2 linked regions of the Ovis aries genome follow. The protein of the gene in region 1 interacts with the protein of each later gene in a pairwise test. Links are inferred from orthologs where the notes say so. Each region holds a gene or a part of one and is shown on either strand. Other genes may lie near its edges.

Region 1 (8,651 bases):
TGGCTTCTGGCAGCACACTGTGGCCTCTGAGGCAGGTACCAACACTAAGCAACTGAGGCCCATGTGTTTCCTGCTCTCTGAGCTTCTCCCATGTGCACAGTGACCCCCACTGGACAGTGGACTACTCCTGGTCAGAGTCAATGCCCTCTATCCCATTCTTAGGGATGCAGAGCACTCTGCTTGGTATTATGAGAAATCCAAAAGACCTGGCCCTGTCCTTGAGGGGCTTACAATCTAGTTAAAGAGACAAAGTGGAATATACACAAACTAACTAAAGAAAATTGGCAGGTAAGAAAATGCAACTCTACAGAAGTGCTCTAGGACAAAAGAGAGAACAAAATGGCAGACGGGAAAAAAATCATTTCAAGGGGTCTTGATGATCAGTAAATTCCAGAATAGCGGGCACCTGAGAAATGCCTGTCAGAGGCCCAGCAGACTGCCCTGCTGCCTGGAGTTCAGCCCCTACTCCGTCCCTCCACCAGGAGGATGGCACCTGAACAGAGTCAGCAGTGAGCTCCCGTCTCACCCTCAGCCTCTCTGAAAGGACTCCAACCTCCTTGGGTTCTGGGGACACCTATGAGAAGCCCTGCCTCGCTGAAAGCAGTTACCTCATTCTTGTCCTTGTCGTTTTGGGAGGCGACGGGCTTCTCAAGGCCTTCCATGCACTCCTTGAATTCCTTCTCGCAGGCGTCCAGCTCCTCCTTGAGCTCTTTCTGCTCATCCAGCAGCTTCTTCATCCGCTGCTGCAGCAGCTTGTGCTCTTCCTGGCTGAGCTGGTACATGGCCTGCACACCCTGCAGCTTGATCAGCACCTTGGCGACCACGTCCTCAAGGTGCTGTGGAGGGCGAGGAGTGAGGAGGGCACCCTGAGGAGCCCCTGCCCTCCACCCGCTCTCTTCGCTGGGCCCTTTTTTCTCATGGGTACAAAACACTGGCCGATAGGATCTGAAGCTGCCCAGGGGGAGAACACTGGATTTCTTCCCATGAAGAGCACATGACTGTGTTGATGAAAAGTCCAGAATCTTAGACTTCCGTCCAGATGGAACTGCATCTCCATAGGAAGTGGGGAGAGCACCTCATTCATTTCCTGACGGTCACCCAGCTCAGCTCTGAGCCCGCTGCCCACTTCACCTCTCGGGCCCTTCCCCGTGGCCTCTCCTAATGAGACAAGAACCATTGTCCCCTGTCTGACCGGACACCTGACTGCCTTTACCTCCACATCTCCAGGCTCGGCCAGCTCGTCGTCCATGCTGCTGCTGACGTAACTCTTGTGACAGGTGACGGAGCTGCTGCTGCTGCTGCCATAGCTCCTCTTATAGGTGTCGGAGCTGCTGCTGCTGCTGCTGAGGTAGCTCCGCTGACAGGACTCGCTGGCATCTGTGCTGCTTTCGTAGCTCTTGAGGAGGCTCTCTTCACTGGCCTGGCTGCTGCCGTAGCTCTTCTGGTAGCCCTCATCGTCATTGAGGTTGCAGCTCTTGTGGCAGTTCTCGTTGCTGGTGGTCGTGCTCGCGTAACTCTTCCTGTAGGAGTCCAGGCTCATCTTGATTGCAGGGGACTGGTCTTGGAGCAGCTGCATTTCTTCCAGACAGAGCTGCAGGTCGGCCTGCAGCCTCTTCCGCTCCTCCAGAAGCCGCTCCTGCTCCTGCTGGAGCAGCTCCTGCTCGGTCTCACTGGCCTCGTACAGCTCCTGCAGGGCCTGCATCTGGGCGATGATCATCTTGGACTGGCGGGAGTGGGTGGGGAGACACCAGCGTTACTTCAGACGCTGCGATCCTTCCAGCGGAACCCCTCCTGGTGAGGATGTCTGAGATCCCAGGTCAAGGAATGGCACACCTGGCCCTCCCAGCTCACCGTGGCCCAGGACTTCCACTTAGCCTGCAGGTACCTGGCATGATTCAATTTCTTACTCACTGGAGAAAATTTCCTAGGGCAGACACTCTGCAATTTCTGGGCTCTCACTTCCCCTGGCTTCTATGCTCTGGTAACCTCCTCTCTCCCTGGAGTAGCACTGAGTGGGTCTCAAGGTCACTCAGCCTCCCTTCTCTCTTCTTAGTCAGGTGGACCTATTATCCTGATCTATGGGGCTCAGTCCCCTCCTCCACCCCCAATTCTAAAATCACCCCTGGCCACGAACATGAGCGTACAAAGAACTCCTCCCTTGGAAGATGCAGACTTCCAATCAGGGTCTCACTATGAGTCCCTCTCCTGCCTCAATTCCAAATCTGGCTTCTGGCATGCTTCCTGGGCCCTCTGGGCCTGGCTCCTTGGCAGCTGATGCCCAGGATGAGATCTGATCTGTTAAGGAAATATTTGCTATTTCCTGGTCTGGTTCCTGGTCTCTGTTATCCAGGCTGAAATCGGATGCCCCTGGAACCTGATCAACCAAATTGCACAGTTTGGACTTCTGCTGCTCCATGCACCTCTGCCTGTCTAGGCTAATATCTGGACAAATCAATCTCACTTAAATGGAAACTGTCTTCCTGCTCTTCCTTGCCTACACTGAGGCCTCAGACCAAATGCATCTCCCAATCCTGAACACACTTGTTTAGAAATTTCCACCAGTATGACCTCAGAGGCCTGACCACTCACTGGTGCTTGAGACACATGGATTCTCTAGTCTAATGCCTCTGACCTGGCTGTTACTGCTGCAAAGTTCCAATCCAATGAAGACAGTGAGGTCAGTACCAAGAACCCCATATGCTGGGAATTTCTGTCTTGGAAACAAATGGCCCCAGATATGCCTCATGTAGAACACCAAAAGGTTACAGATTTGGATCACTGGAAAGCGAACATCTCAATTATCAACCAGCTCATGAGGAAAAGACATGTTTAGAGTCAGTCCTAAAGAACCCAAACACTAGGTTGATCTACCTCCAACTACATCTGGAAAATGAGGTATTAAAGAGACTGAGTTCAAAGGATCAGGAGATCACAGACTTCCTGGTCATCACAGTGCTTCAGCTGGGCATCCATCCAGAGGAGCAGCTCAGGCCAGCCCTAACTAAGGAGCCCATGAGTGGGCTTTAGCTTCCTCTCTGCTCCTGGCCTTCGGAACTCAGACCCTGCTATGGAGCCCCTTTCCCTAGCATGCTGCTACCCCCAGAACTGTCTCCCTACCTCTTGCTATGGTTACCTTGTTGTGACCACACTTTGAGGACTTAGGCCATTTGGGATCCTCGGGATTCTCCAACACTTCCCGGAAGCTGGACTCCTTGAAATGGTGCAGGGCTCCTTGCAGTTCTAACTGTTCTTTTACTATGTTCTCTTGGTTCTGTATCAGTTTCTTCTGCTCCTCCTGCATGCCTTGGTAGAGCATCTGCACTTCACACAGGTCCTGTAACTTTGTGAGGAGCTCCTGACTCTGTGAGGTGGAGCGGAAGGAAGTGGGCGGCACTGTGATGGTTACACGGAAAGACCTCTGCCTCCTTCCCTCTGGGGACCCTTCCCTCAAAGGAGTTGGCTTTGCTCAGCCCACCTGGGACAGGAGGGGAGTCTTTCTACACAGACCTGCTAGTGGAGGAGTAAAGACCTCCTGTGGGTGGATGTCTTTTGCTTTTTATAAAGTGATTTCAAGGACATTTTCTCCAGATGGACTAAATGTCTAAAACGTTGGACAGATTCCAGAGTTGAGGATGTATTTCAAGATTTAAAGCCCTAATCGGCTATTGTGAGCAGTTTTGTGAGAGGAGACTGGCGAGAAAGTGAGGAGTTAAGACAAAGTTCCATTTGCTCCCTTTCACTTCTCCTCAGGTCGCTCACATCCGGGAAGGGCCTCACAGCTGACGGCCGCCCTGGCCGCCATTACCTTGTGGAAGAGACCAGACTTGGGGAGCGGGAACGTGAGCCTGTGCAGCTCTTCTTGTAGCTGGCCCTGCTCCTCCTGCATCCTCCTCTGTTCCTCCAGGAGCTCGCACTGCTCCATCTGCATCTGCGCCATCTCCTTCTGGCTGGCCTTGTAACTCTCCTGCAATTCTGTCAGTCTGAAGAGCAGCGCGTCACACTGTGGACGGGGCAGGGCACACAGGGCGGTCAGCGGACCACGCCTGTGTTCTGTCCTGTGATTCACCAGAGTCTCCTGCCCTGTGGTCACCTTAGACTAATCACCCCAAGCTCCACTGTGCCCTCTAGAGGCCTAGATGCTGAACGGGAACCCCAGCAGGCCGCTCAGGGCTGAAGTTTGGCCATGCTGGATATTTTGCCTACTAGTCCTCTCTGAGGGTGGTTTTCAAGAGAGTGTTGGCAATGCCCCTCCCTTCTTACCTCCCTCCTGCTTCTTTCCTCTGGTGAAGACCATTTTCCCACCGTGCTGGGAATTCTAGTTCTCCAGTTGTTTCTATAACTGATTATGTTCCTTACCAATAACGATGTATTTTCACCCTAATTTTCCCCCATTTTTGTGTTCATCATCAGCTTCAAGAATCTTTAGAGAAGTATGAACTATTGCTGAGCTGGGGTTGAGAAGACTAAAGTATCCTATGATTCCAAAAACCCAATCTTCTAATATTAGACTAGTCTCAATGCTCTTTTAGGACTAGAGAAAAGACCGGCTCTGTGTGCCAGCATCCTTCTCCCTTCCTATGGTCCCCTCCCCTAGTAGAGGAAGTGATGAGCAGGATATGGACCCCTTGGACCTCTCAATGCAGTCGGTGTGGCGGGAGGAGAGAAAGTGAGCCTGGGTGTAGAAAGGCAGGTGGACTACTAGGGCAGCCCAAAAACCATCTCCAGCGCTGTGTCTTCGGAAGGCCTTCCCCTGGAGACACAGCATGCTGCAGCAGGAGCGAATGAGTATTCAAGCAGTATTTTGCATCATGTGTTGGCATTTTTCCATTTCCTGTCAGTGATCAGGAGCTGAAAGTACTCAATAAAGCTAACCAATAATGACTTGCCTTTTACACACTATGGAGAAAAGGGAAAGGAAGGAAGGAAGGCCTTATTCATCATCAGGATTTTTCACTAAAACAAAGTGAGGTAAGAAGTATTCTGCTCAATTTAAAAAGGGTAAGATTCGAGTTGAGAATTTAACTACTCTGAAGTCATGGAATAAATCCTGGAAAAGCCTAGGTTCTTCTAATAACCAATCAGCGCTCAGGGCACCAACCATGCCTTCTGACAAGAGCACCTACAATCTGCCTCAGAAAACTGGACCTTCTCTTTCTAGTTCTAACAGTCATAGTTGTGTATATGGGCCTACATGTATGTTCTCCTCCACAAATGACAGGATATCACTATAGTTCTAATAATAAAGTATAAAGTCTACTCTCATGGAGTCATGTGTAAAATCTTCAGGTGTTCAGACTGGACCCAGATGTATTGATTCTACTAATCTGTAGCTCAGGCTTAAAGTGAAGGTCAAGTCAAAGTCTTAATGTTAACAGCATGGGTTCTGCCTCTGTTCCCTGCCTTTCCACACTCAGCTGTGACGGGACAGGAGGTCCATCAAGCCTCTCGTTTGCATGACTTCATCTCTTGCCCCTCTACTTCCTCTCTCCAAGGCTCAGGAGACCTCACCTGTCTTAGTTACAATTACCTTATTAGCACACTTCCCCTTGTCCTCTAGGATGGACTGGGTGCTCCTGAGCTGCTGCAGCTCCTGCTGGCAGAGTAGGAAGTCCTGCTCCAGCTGGTCATACATGTGCTTCTGCCGGTCCAGCGTTTCCTGGCTGCACTGGTACAGCCGCTTCGTCTCCTGCAGCTGGGCGTGGACCTCTGCACTCTGGGGTGGGGAGGCACACCCCGCCATTATCCCCAGAGCCACATGGCCACACTCTCTCCTCTCAGGCAGGGGCTAAGGGGTCTTACCCTGTCCTTTCCAGGTCTGGGGTGGGACTCCCTGAGATGGACCAATCCCTAACAGGCTCTCCACAGACACTGGGGGCTTCCTCTCTGGGGAGGCAGGGAAGGGAAAGGGCCTCCTTTCTACAGTCCTTTCGGACTTGACATCACAGGAAGCCGAGCATGTTGTGACCCTCTGAGGTCACCTTTCCACTGAGCACAGTCATAGTTGCGCATATGGACCTACATATATGTTCTTCATGAATGACAGGATGTGATTATGGTTCTAATAGTAGGGTAGAAAGTCTCCTCACCAACAGCTCCTCCACAGAACTACCATTCCTTTCTCCTGCGGACCCAGCCTCTCACGGGAGGGTCTGCCGGGCTACCTTCTCCCTCGCCTGAAGCCTGTTTTACCTTCTCGCTGCTCTCCTGGTAGGTGGTCACAACACCCCTGAGGTGCTGCACCTCAGCCTCGTGGCAGCGCAGAGTGTCCCGCAGGTGCTGCTGCACGTCCAGCAGCTTGTTCTTCTCACATGAGATGCTGTGGCACTGCAGCTGCAGCTTCTGTAGCTGGCACTGTAGCTCCTGCAGTGGAGGGGGCCTGGGGCAGTGCCTCTGCAGTCCTCCACCCACTCACTCTTCTGCTGGAGTCGCCCTCAGACATAGACAGTCTGAGAATCCACTGGTCCCTGCCCTGCGCTTACAGGCTGCCCTCTGGTCCAATGGGGGACTTGAGGGCAGCTGGAGTCCTGGACCTGCGGTGCCATATAGGTAGCAGCTGGAGCTATTTCAATGCTCTACTTTTCTCCCCACCCTGCCCAAACCTCCTGGCACCTAAGCAGCCCCTCATCTTGGGTTGCTGTTACCTTCTCACTCTGGCTTTCTACTGTGCTTTTCATGACTTTGAGCTGCCGGAGCTCAGCCTGAAGTTGTAGCTGCACCTTCAAGAGCTCACTCTGCTCATCCTGGCTAGCATCGTACTTTTGCTGCAGGGCACAGAGTCTGGTCTTCAGCTCCTCGTTCTGTGGTGGGGAGGATGTGGGAAGAGTGGTTACTCTCAGAAATCAGCAGACCCCTCTCCACACCAGAGTGGTTCTTTTTGCCGAGCGGACATTTTGAGGAGCTCCCCTGGGCATTAGGGTTTAGTTTCTTCTCTGCAGCGGACGCTCCATCATGACTACCATTCTAGAATGCAATGCTGTGTGACTTCTCCACTTGCTCTCCAGTTGACCATATCCCTGGCTGCAGGCCAAGAATCAGTAGAGCGCAGCCCGCCTCTGCCTTCATCCTCCCTGGAAGTGGCAACTCCAATCAGGCCCTTCTGCCCTCCCCTGGTGCCCGGCCCTATCCGTGTTTACCTGGGTGACGCTGTGGGACGTCTGAAACCGAAGCACCTCATTCTGTGCACACTTTAGCTCCCTCTGCAGCCGCTTCTGCTCCTCCTCACTGGTCCGGCGATGGTGATGTAGCTCTTGCAACTCACAAGTCAATTTCTTACACTGTGTGGGAAATGGAACAGGAAGCCTGAATTACTACAGGGACCATATGCACTCCAGGAATGGACCTAGGCAGAGTATGGCAGTCCTTTTACTGGAACATTCCATGAAAGGCACACAAGTGAGACCCCAGAGTCTGATCTCTTGCCATAGCACCTGTCTCCCTGGTTAGCCTTGTGTCTAAGGAGATGCTGCTGACACAGGCCAGGAGAAGGTAAGAGAGAGGCAGTGAAGGAGCTGGCCTTTCCCTACCTTGCTCTGCATGTCATGCATCTGCTCCTTGGCTCCCAGTAGCTGCTGCCGCAACAAATGCATTCCAGGATCGGGCTCCAGGAAATCCTCTTCTGAGGTCTGAGACTCTGCTGACCTCATAGTCCGTAGCGTTTGGGACTCCAGCCATCTTTCTGTTGCTCTTCGTGTCCTGTAATTCAGAACCCCAGAGCCACGTTTGGGAGAATGCTCTGCCCAGCACCACCTGCGAAGTATGCCTGGTCCTGATGCCTTCATTTTAGGCAAAAGACAGTTAAGGAGACTTCTCTTGTGATTTACCTCTCAAATACACTTGAAGGATGACAGAAAAAGTCCCCAGCATCTCAACCTGCAAAGGCATGTCTGGTTCTGGGAGACCCTAAGGGTACTAGTCCAGTCAGGCTCCAGGCTGGGACTGGAGTCAAACCAGCTCCAGTTTGGAGGCAATGCGTCCTTTGACTGGATCAAGTCTGGGAGGACAACAAAGGAATTGCTTCTCCTCTGCTCCAGAGCAGAGCCAACCAGACCTAACTGCCTGGAGTGGAAGAAAATGAAATTTCAGAACTTGCCCAGCTCTAGTCCTGAGACATCTGGTTGGATCCCCATACCTGCTTCTCAGCAGTATTCAAACCCTTCAGATACCATGGGAAGGACCAGCTCTCCCACAGTGGAGGAAGGCAGGGGAGCCTGACATCTGCCTTCTCCGGTCCTACTCAGGGAATAGCCCTGTCCTAAAGAGCCCTGTGAGCCTGTGGGCTGTACCTCTCACTCTCCAGATCTGCAAGCTGCCCTGTGAGGCTGCTGTTGCTCTCCTGCAGGGCCCGGTACTCCTCGTTCAGGAAGTGGTAGCGTTCCCGCAGTTGCTGCAACTCTTCTGCAGAGGACAGGCAGAGAGGTGAGACCCCCAGGGAGGAAGCACAGATGACCAGCCCCCAGTTTTCCAGCCTAGAAATCTGGCTGTGGAAAACTGAAGTTTCTTTTTCTAGAGACAGATGAGATACCCCATGCAGAGGTTTAGAAGATGGGGCCCGGAAAGTTTCAAGTTGCAATGGGTCTTTGTCCTCTCAGTGTGCTGCCCATCTTTTCAAATTCCCAGAAGACTGGCCCTGGGTGTCCATCTTCAAAACTTCA
Region 2 (9,231 bases), on another chromosome or scaffold:
TTGGAGCCCAAGAAGTAAGGTTTGCCACTGTTTCCATGTTTTCCCTAGGTAGTTCCTATTCCCTATTTATCCTTTGGAGAGAACCCTCCACCCCTAGGAGGTTCTTGTTTTCCCTTTTGTAATAATATTACCCCCTTTATATGATTTCTATCTGGATCAAATGAGATACACAGTTCAAAACCCTTGACACAGTGTTTCAGAAAGTGTCAAGACTTCATTTCAGTGGGGCTTCCCTGGCCTCCAGCGGTTAGGACTCATAGCTTTCACTGTCATGGCCCCAGGTTCCATCCCTGTAAAGGAACTAAGATCCCGCAAGCCACAAATGCGGCAAAAAAATAAAAACTTCAGTTCGAGAGACATCTCATCCATGAGGCCCTCCCTGACCACCCTACACACATCTGGTTCCCAAGTGTTATCCTTTCTTATGGATCTCTCAATTTCTCTTTTTGGTACATACCATAAATATAAATAATTCCTTCTGCTATCATCTGCTTCTTGTTTCTCTTTCAGATTAAGACCATGACTCCAGAAGGATAGAAATGGTGCCCAGCACCATACCTGCCAGACAGGAGGTGTTTGATCCATGTCTGTCCAATAAATGAACGGATAGGTCAAATGGGTTCCGTCTTTGACTCAATTACTAAAATGTCAGAGGTTACACTTCTTATCACTGTTATCACCCCATCCATCCCCCCCCTCTTCACACCTTTCCCTAAAGGCAAAGAATAAAATGCATTCGTGTCCACATCATGGGACAAGAAAGCTATCTATATGTGTCCAGACAGACCAAGATGGTTACAGAGCTCAAACTAAACTTTGATGTAGGCAGCGCCTCCATGTGATCGCTGGGAATCTTTGTTTTTCTGTTCATCGTGTTTAGTCGCTAAGTCATGTCAGAGACTTTTGCGACCCTACGGACAGTTGCCCGCCAGGCTGCTCTGCCCATGGGATTTCCCAGGCACGAATACTGGAGTGGGGTGCCATTCGCTTCTCCAGGGCATCTTCCCAGCTCGGGGACCAAACTGTGTCTTCTGCACTGGCAGGCGGAAATTGCCAAGCCACCAGGGAAGCCCTCTGTTCACCTATAAATGCCCAAATTCAATACTCACAGGCTGTATCTCTGTCCCTCCAGAGTGACTCTCACCCTCTCCTCCTGCTCTGTGCCCTGACAGGCTGACTGCCTGACCGGCTCCCTTTCCTTCCTTGCCTTCTGGCGCTGGAAGCGAGAGACTCCAGTAGGAGATGGGGAGGGAGGAGGGGAGAGAGGGCAGGGTCTTTATCCTCCTCTTCCTAAACACAGGCTGGATCTGGCAACTCAATTTTACCACACAGGATGTGGCGGCTGAAGGGATGCTCTGGGACTTTCAAGGCTAGGTCACGAAACGATACAACTTCCACCTGGCTTTCCTTCTCTTGTGTTGCCTGCCCTGGCGCGGCCAGCTGCCAGGTTGGGCATATCAAACTCAAGTCAACCTAGGTAGTGCGGAACTGAGGCATCCCGCCAACAACCAGCACTCACCTGCCAGTCACGTGTGAGTGAGCCTCCTTGGAAACAAGAGCCTTCAGCCCCAGTCAAACCTTCAAAGGAACGCAGCCCCAGTCAACATGTCGACTACAATCTTATGGAGACCCTGAGCCAGAAAGCCTACTAAAGCCGTCCTTGGGTTCCTGACCCACAAAAATTGTGTGAGCTAATAAGTGTTTCTTGTTTTAAGTCGCTACGTGTGTGCGTACTGTCACTTCAGTCATGTCCATCTCTGTCACCCCATGTCAGCCCATGTCACCCCACATCACCCCATGTCAGTCCATGAGGATTCTCCAGGCAGGAATACTGGAGTGGGTTGCCATGCCCTCTTCCAGGGGATCTTCGTAACCCAGGGATCGAACCCACATCTCCTGCACTGGCAGGCAGGTTCTTTACCACTAGCGCCACCTGGGAAGCCCTTAAGCCATTACATTTGGGGAGATAATTTGTTACACAGCAACAGAGAACTACAACACCTGGTAAGAAGAGTCCCCAGTTACCATTCTTCCTGGAACCCTCTTCCTCTGCATCCTTCAGGTTTCCACTCAGATGTTACTTCTCACAGCCTTCCCTAAACCCTCTTTACCCATCCCCCTGTCGTAGTTTATTTTTCATCCTGGCACATATTATCTCCTGAAAGTTGTAAGAGTGTTAGTCACTCAGTTGTGTCTGACTACAACTCCACGGAGTGTAGCCCACCAGGCTCCTCTGTCCATGGGATTCTCCAGGCCAGAATACTGGAGTGGTAGCCATTCCCTTCTCCAGGGGATCTTCCTGACCCAGGGATCGAACCCAGGGATCGAACCCAGGTCTCCCGCATTGCGGGCAGATTCTTTACTGTCTGAGCCACCAGGGAAACTGCCTACCCATCACATATTTGTTTCTTCTATCTCCCCCACTAGAATGCTAGCTCTGTAGGGCAGGGATCTTTGTTTTCTGTGATGCTGTGTCCATGGTGCATGGAACAGTGCCTGGCACAGAGCAAGCTCTCACTATGGTGATCATTAGGATGAGAAGCTAACAGACATGAATTGTGTTGGGGCTTGATCAGATTCCCACCTGTTCCCTGCCTGTTCTGTGCTCACCGTGACCAGGGATGGGACATAGCTGTGACCTCCCCCTCCACTGGGTAAGTAGTAGTTGGGAACTATAAGGAGAGAGCCCCTCCATGCCTCCCCGCTTCTCTGGGATAAAATCCTAGGTCCTCTCAGCAGTCTTCAACCTTTTCTGCACCAGAAACCATTTTCCTGGAAGACAGTTTTTCCACAGACGGCGTGGGGGGTGGGGGGATGGTTTCGGGATGATTCGAGTGCATTACATTTAGTGTGCGATCTATTTCGATTATTATTGCATCAGCTCCACCTCAAATCATCAGGCATCAGATCCCAGAGGTTAGGGACCACTGCTCTGTGACGCCTACAGCCCCTCATTCCTGCCTGAAACCCCACCACTCAGCCACAAAGAACCATGAACTGTTTACACTCGTTAATAGAGTAGGCTCCAGGGAGGAATGCCTAGACTCCACAAACAAAACTTTGGAGTTCGAGTAGAAAACATTAGAACATTTATATTTTTAATCATTGGGGATCTTCCCCACCCAGGAATTGAACCCCCGTCTCTGGAGTCTCCTGCATTGGCAGGCAAATTCTTTACTACTAGCGCCACCTGGGAAGCCCAACGAATATCATTATGTAACAAATACATTATTATAAAATGATCTACAGAATCTGATCTTTCTCTAGTAGCTCAGTTGGGAAAGAATCTGCCCGCAGTGCAGGAGACCTGGGTTCGATTTCTGGGTCGGGAAGATCCCATGGAGAAGGAAATGGCAACCCACTCCAGTATTCTTGCCTGGAAAATCTCATGGACAGAGGAGCCTGGCAGTCCATGGGGTCGCAAGAGTCGGACACGAATTAGCGACTAAACCACCACCACAGAATCTGAGTATTTGTATATAATTCATACTGTATTTGTATATAATTCATAAACAAACACTCTTCGAGGAATTGAGCTTCCACATCTTTACTGATGGAGGTTAAACAATTTGAGGGGTGTCATTTATCCTAACACAATTTTGCCACCCCCAGGGAACATTTGGCAACGTCTGGAGACATTTTCAGTTACCACGACTGGGGCAAGAGTGCCACAGGCATCTAGCGGATTGAAGCCAGGGATGCTGCTAAATATCCTACAATGCACAGGGCAGGCCTCCAGAATCACCCAGCCCTAAATGCCAATAGCGTTGAGGTTGAGAAGCCCTGGCTTAAAGCGCTAGTCACTTTTTTCTGGGGTCTTTGCACCCAAAGCTGTTCCATCCCGCACTCCGATCTTCTGACTGCTGAGACCTCGGTCTTCCGGACTCCTCCAAGAAGCCATTTTTTTCTTTTTTTAAAGAAACCATTTCTGATGCCGCCAGGCAGGGCTCTTCCAGCCCCCTCGCCCACCCCCCACCCCCCATGCTGGGTTAAAATCGTCCTGATCCCTCGGGGTTCTCAATCTTCCGTTTTTCAGCGCAAATTCCCTGGAACCCCTAGACAGACCGATTCTGCAAGACTGTGAGGAACCAGGAATCCGTATTTTTAACGAGCATCTTCTCCCCACCACAACTGCCTGCTTCTTAATATCTTGCACATAGTAGGTGGCCCAGTGACTAGTTGAATGTCTACAGCATGGCAGGCGCTACTAAATACTCGACCTGGGGATCTCGAATCCTGCACCTGCGCGCGCGCGCGCACAGGCATGAGCGCGCGCGAGCACACACACCCGTCCCCAGGATGTAGCCACTATCATCATCCCCACTTTACAGCGAAGTAAACTGAGGTTCAGAGAGAAGACATAGCCGGATAAGACACTCAGAGCGAGACAGGGGTCTAGATCCTCATTAGCGCCTGATTCCGGGTGGAGGGAGGGGACCGAGCGATGAACAGGGGAGCGCGAACAGGCGGGGGCACGGAGACTCGCCGCGGCCTTCAGATGCGGCCCCGCCCCCACGAGGGACGTGAAGACGCGGACCCCGCGCAGCGTGGGGACATGTGACCGACTGCAGAGGCCGCGCCGCTTCCCCCGCCCGAGTTCTGCGCGCTCCGCCGCAGGGTGCAGATCCGGGGCGCCCGCCTGGGTTTGGGGCGCAAGAGCAGAGGCGGAGCCAGGGCGGAGCCAGCCCTCCCCGTCCACCCCCCCGTTCCCAAACGAAAGCGAAACGGAGCGCAGGAAAGGAAGGGCGGAGCCGGCCTGGAGGCCCCGCCCCCTGCCCTGCGCGGCCGGACCGACGGGCGCGCCCAGGTAGGGGGCCGCCGAGCGCGCAGTGCGGACCCTCGCGGGGACCTACGCCGCCACCATGTCTCAAGAAGGTGTGGAGGTAGGAGATGGCTACAACTGGGCCGGTGGCCCGCGAGAGATGCTGAGGAGGAGCTAGGGGCACGGAGCGGGCTTCGCAGTTGCTGGGGACTCCATCCAAGCCCAGACCTTCCCCCCAAGGCTGGCACTCGTCTCCCTCGGAAAGGAGAGTGACCGCCACATGCCCCGGAGCAAAATGCGGCCTCCTCGAGGGAAAGCGGGGGCTGCTGGGTCAAGGGTCAGAGGCCAGGGGTCATCTGGCCGGCCTCATCCCTTAGCCTGGGACGCTCGCCCTAGTCCGCTCCCTCCCCCAGTACTCTGTGGGGACTTTGGCTTTTTCCAGGAAATGCAGTAGAGGGATGGGGGGGGGGGGTGCGAAGGCCAAAACCCGGGGTCAAGTTCGGGCCGTGAAAAAAGGAAGCCTAGGGATGGAGGAAGGGCAATTGCGCTTTTCCTTCCCCCACCGGTCCCCTACCCCAGCTGGAGAAAAGCGTCCGGCGCCTCCGGGAGAAGTTTCATGGAAAGGTATCCTCCAAGAAGGCAGGGACTCTGATGAGGAAATTTGGCAGCGACCACACTGGAGTGGGGCGCTCCATCGTGTATGGTGAGCAGGTGGGGGTCCTGCCTGGTGAGAGTTAAGCTGGGGAGCAGGGAGGGGGTGTGGTCTGTGCTGGGGGCTGGAAGAGGCGATGAGATCATCTCTTTGGGGGGCGGTCTGGATCGGGGTTCTGGGGGCCCTGAAATTCCCACAAAACCTTTCAAGGGGCCTTCACTTACACTTACTCTCCCCACCAGGGGTAAAGCAGAAGGATGGACAGGAACTGAGTAATGATCTGGACACCCAGGTAAACTGCCCCCTCCCCTCAAAACACGTGGTAAGGGAAGGAAGAAGGGAAGGGTCAGGCTCATCCCTGGCAGAGCTCTTTCTGTGCACTGTCCATCCACAACTCATGGTCTAGCCTCATTCACTTACCTCTCAGTTATGGATCTGACCAAGGAGCCTGCAAACCATAGGTGCTCATTACATGCTGATTGTATGAAATGGAGAGAGACAAGAAACTAGGCAGTGAAAAGAATCCGGATTATCATCATTACAGAGGAGCCAAAGAGGTCAGGGAAGGCTTCCTGGAGGAGGTGGTACCACATTCTTCAAGCCTAGGGAGGAGTGATCCCTGGGAAGGGGAGGGGTTGGAGATCTTCCTGGAAGAGAGGGTGACCTGAGCAGAGGAACTTGCAGACAGGTTGGGACGAGTAAGAGATAGGGGAGGAAAGAGGGGCAGGGAAGCCCATGTAAATGAATGACTAAAGCAATGAATGAATGAGAGCCTTTGTATGGCCACTTTGCCCCTTAGATGGCCTTGGTAGCTGGTGCACTGGTTTGCCTGTCTGAAAGGGCCCAGCACAGAGCTGTTAAAGAGTATAATAAAGTATGTTTTATACTTGTAACATTTATATATTTACAGTTATACATATAATGAGTATAATAAAACTAGCAAAGAGTATCATTGATTGAGCACTTTCCCTGCAACAGGACTCCAGGAATTCTGTTGACTTATTGCCACAGGTCCTGTGAGACAAGTCCTATTATTTATCATATCCACTTGACAGATGAGGAAACTGAGACACAGGGTGATGAAGTCACTCACCAGGCTCATGCTGAATGCAGGTGGTGACTGGGATTTGAACCCAGGTCACCTAGAGTCAGAACCTGGACTCCTAGATGTCCTTCATTAGGGAGAGTGGCTTGGCCACGACCCCACAGCTGGAAGTGATGAGGCCAGGATTCCAACCTGTGGCTCTCTGAATCCAGAGCTCAAGCACTTAGCCTAAAGCAGCATAGCCTCAAACAGGTGACCTGTCACAATGCCAGCAAGTGTGTGGCATTTGCCAGCATGAAGGGAGCATGGGGCCCAGGCCTGTTGCCCACACTCACTCAGGGTAATCTCAGGCAAGCCCTCTCAGAGCTCTGGGCCTCAGTTTCCCCATCTGAGCAATGAGGATCACAGGTGTGCCCACCTCTCAGGGTTGCTATGAGGACAACTGAGGTCACACACCCTTGCCCTCAGGAAGTGGAAACTGCTCAATTAACTCCTCTTGAGTTGGGGACACCTTACTCATATGGGGCCAGAACCCTGCCTCCCCATCCAGAAGCCCTGCCCCCAGAAAAGAGGCATGAGCCACCTCCCCAGTTTCTACCCCTGATGTTTCCACCCAGGACCCCCCAGAGGACATGAAGCAGGACCAGGACATCCAGGTGAGTCCAGGGTGTGGGATGGGGAGGTGGAGCGGTGTGCACACCCCTGGGGGTATCCATACGTGAGAAGGAGGGACAGGATAGGGGTTTGGAAGAGAAGAGGACTGACCGCCCTCTTGGCCCCGCCCACCCCATTCTGCAGGCGGTGGCGACATCCCTCCTGCCACTGACAGAAGACAATCTACGCATGTTCCAGCGTGCCCAGGAAGACCTCATCCCTGCCGTGGACCGGCAGTTCGCCTGCTCCTCCTGTGACCATGTCTGGTGGCGCCGCGTGCCCCAGCGGAAAGAGGTGATAACCCAATCCCTGACCTTGGTTCTGTCCCGGCTCTGCTCCCAACCCCCATTCTGTGTCCAAACCAACTGACCTAAGAACATCAGCCTCTGAGACCCCAACCCCGGACACCTGCAGCCTCAGAGATCAACCCCAATCTCAGCCCCAACGCTGACCTACTGAGCTGGACTTTCAACATTCAACTGGAGAAGCTCAACTTACCCTTGAACTCTTGACTATGGCGTTTGACCACTACCACAGAAATCAAGCCTGAACCCCAAATCTGGCTTCTGAACCCCCTGACCAGTGGTGTGCTTCTGATAAACGCCTACCAACCAGGAACGAAGTGCCCCCAGATTTACAGTGTTCGCCAATTTCGATGGTGTAAATCCCAACGTGACCACCATCAGGCTATCGGTGCCCATCTGCTCCGCTCTTCTGTACCCCCAGGTGTCCAGATGCAGGAAATGCCGGAAGCGCTATGATCCCGTGCCCAGTGACAAGATGTGGGGCGTGGCTGAATTCCACTGCCCGAAATGTCGACACAACTTCCGGTGAGGGCACAACTTCCCGAGAGGGTGCTGACCCCACCCCCTCACCCTCGGCCCCGCCCCAGCCCCGCCCCGCCCCTCCCTGCCCTGGCCCCATCCTGGCCCAGCTGGCCTTTGGACCCTCACGGCCCTGCCCGCCCCCAGGGGCTGGGCACAGATGGGGTCCCGGTCCCCCTGCTACGGGTGCGGCTTCCCTGTGTATCCGACACGGATCCTCCCTCCGCGCTGGGATCGCGACCCGGATCGCCGCAGTACCCACACCCACTCCTGCTCCGCTGAGGACTGCTACAATCGGAGAGGTGAGCGCCTGCTGCGTCCGCATGGCCTCCCCCTGTTCCAGTCTATGTGGCCTGGACTCCTGGGATTTCCACCTCTGGGGCTTTACCTACCAAGGTGTCTGCTTGCTTCTTGCACCTAACTCCTTAGGTCCTAGTTCTAGAGGCCATTTCATCTCTTACCACATCGGCCCCTCCTTCCACATCTTCCACCGTCCTCCACCTCCTTGCCTCCAGGTCTCTCCTGGAGGGGGGGTCCCTCCTCACACTCACCTCCCGTGGCATCAGCCACCCTCCATGTTCTCACCCATGAGGCTTTGTGGTTTCACCCTGACAACCCACATCCCAGGGTCCTGTGGACTCAGCCCCTGCAGTCTCTCTGTGTTCTTGGCTCCTGTGTGGTCCTCTGTAGTCTCAGGTGATGCCCATGACCGTGGGTCTCCTGTGGCTTCAACGTCTGTGACTTCCACTTCTGCCCTAGAGCCTGTGGCCGCAGCCCCTCCCCTCCCCCAAAGCACCCCGTGGCCTCCAGCCCCAGGAGAGGGCTCAGAACCTCTCCCTCCCCAGAGCCCCATGTGCCTGGGACGTCCTGTGCGCACCCCAAGAGCCGAAAGCAGAACCACCTGCCCAAAGTCCTGCACCCCAGCAACCTCCACATCAGCAGTGGCTCCACTGTGGCTACCTGCCTGAGCCAGGGGGGCCTCCTGGAAGACCTGGACAACCTCATTCTGGAGGACCTGAAGGAGGAGGAGGAAGAGGAGGAGGACGAGGAGGAGGGCGGGCACGGGGAGTGACCCCTGCCAGATGCAGATGAAAACCAGACACGGTCTGTGGCTATTTTGTGTTGTTATAAAATATGAGCTCAAACTGAGATCTCAATGCCCTTGGGGAGCCGTCTGGGTCCAGGATATTGGCAGGGGGATTCCTGGGCACTGTCTACAAAGCCCTGGGGAAGCCCTGCAGATCCACAATGGGAGGAGGTCTGTGGGGCATGGTCTGCATGGAGCCACAAAGGA

The links.
Region 2: the proteins of CCDC136 (region 1) and SHFL interact in binary tests that used the Homo sapiens proteins (3 or more experiments, as listed by UniProt). The two-hybrid records come from large-scale screens. The link is inferred for Ovis aries from reciprocal best matches to the Homo sapiens genes CCDC136 and SHFL.

What each region holds. Positions count from the first base shown.
Region 1 is NC_056057.1:94,471,844-94,480,494, reverse strand, and holds part of CCDC136 (coiled-coil domain-containing protein 136), read right to left. Parts: intron 8,395-8,651; coding exon 8,283-8,394; intron 7,693-8,282; coding exon 7,524-7,692; intron 7,275-7,523; coding exon 7,134-7,274; intron 6,798-7,133; coding exon 6,642-6,797; intron 6,361-6,641; coding exon 6,190-6,360; intron 5,714-6,189; coding exon 5,528-5,713; intron 4,001-5,527; coding exon 3,806-4,000; intron 3,362-3,805; coding exon 3,134-3,361; intron 1,724-3,133; coding exon 1,214-1,723; intron 837-1,213; coding exon 609-836; intron 1-608. UniProt on the Homo sapiens protein: May play a role in acrosome formation in spermatogenesis and in fertilization.
Region 2 is NC_056058.1:12,500,232-12,509,462, forward strand, and holds SHFL (shiftless antiviral inhibitor of ribosomal frameshifting protein), read left to right. Parts: upstream 1-4,774; 5' UTR 4,775-4,862; coding exon 4,863-4,883; intron 4,884-5,341; coding exon 5,342-5,465; intron 5,466-5,656; coding exon 5,657-5,706; intron 5,707-7,076; coding exon 7,077-7,115; intron 7,116-7,257; coding exon 7,258-7,407; intron 7,408-7,839; coding exon 7,840-7,943; intron 7,944-8,084; coding exon 8,085-8,239; intron 8,240-8,696; coding exon of another isoform or gene 8,697-8,782; coding exon 8,783-9,009; 3' UTR 9,010-9,086; downstream 9,087-9,231.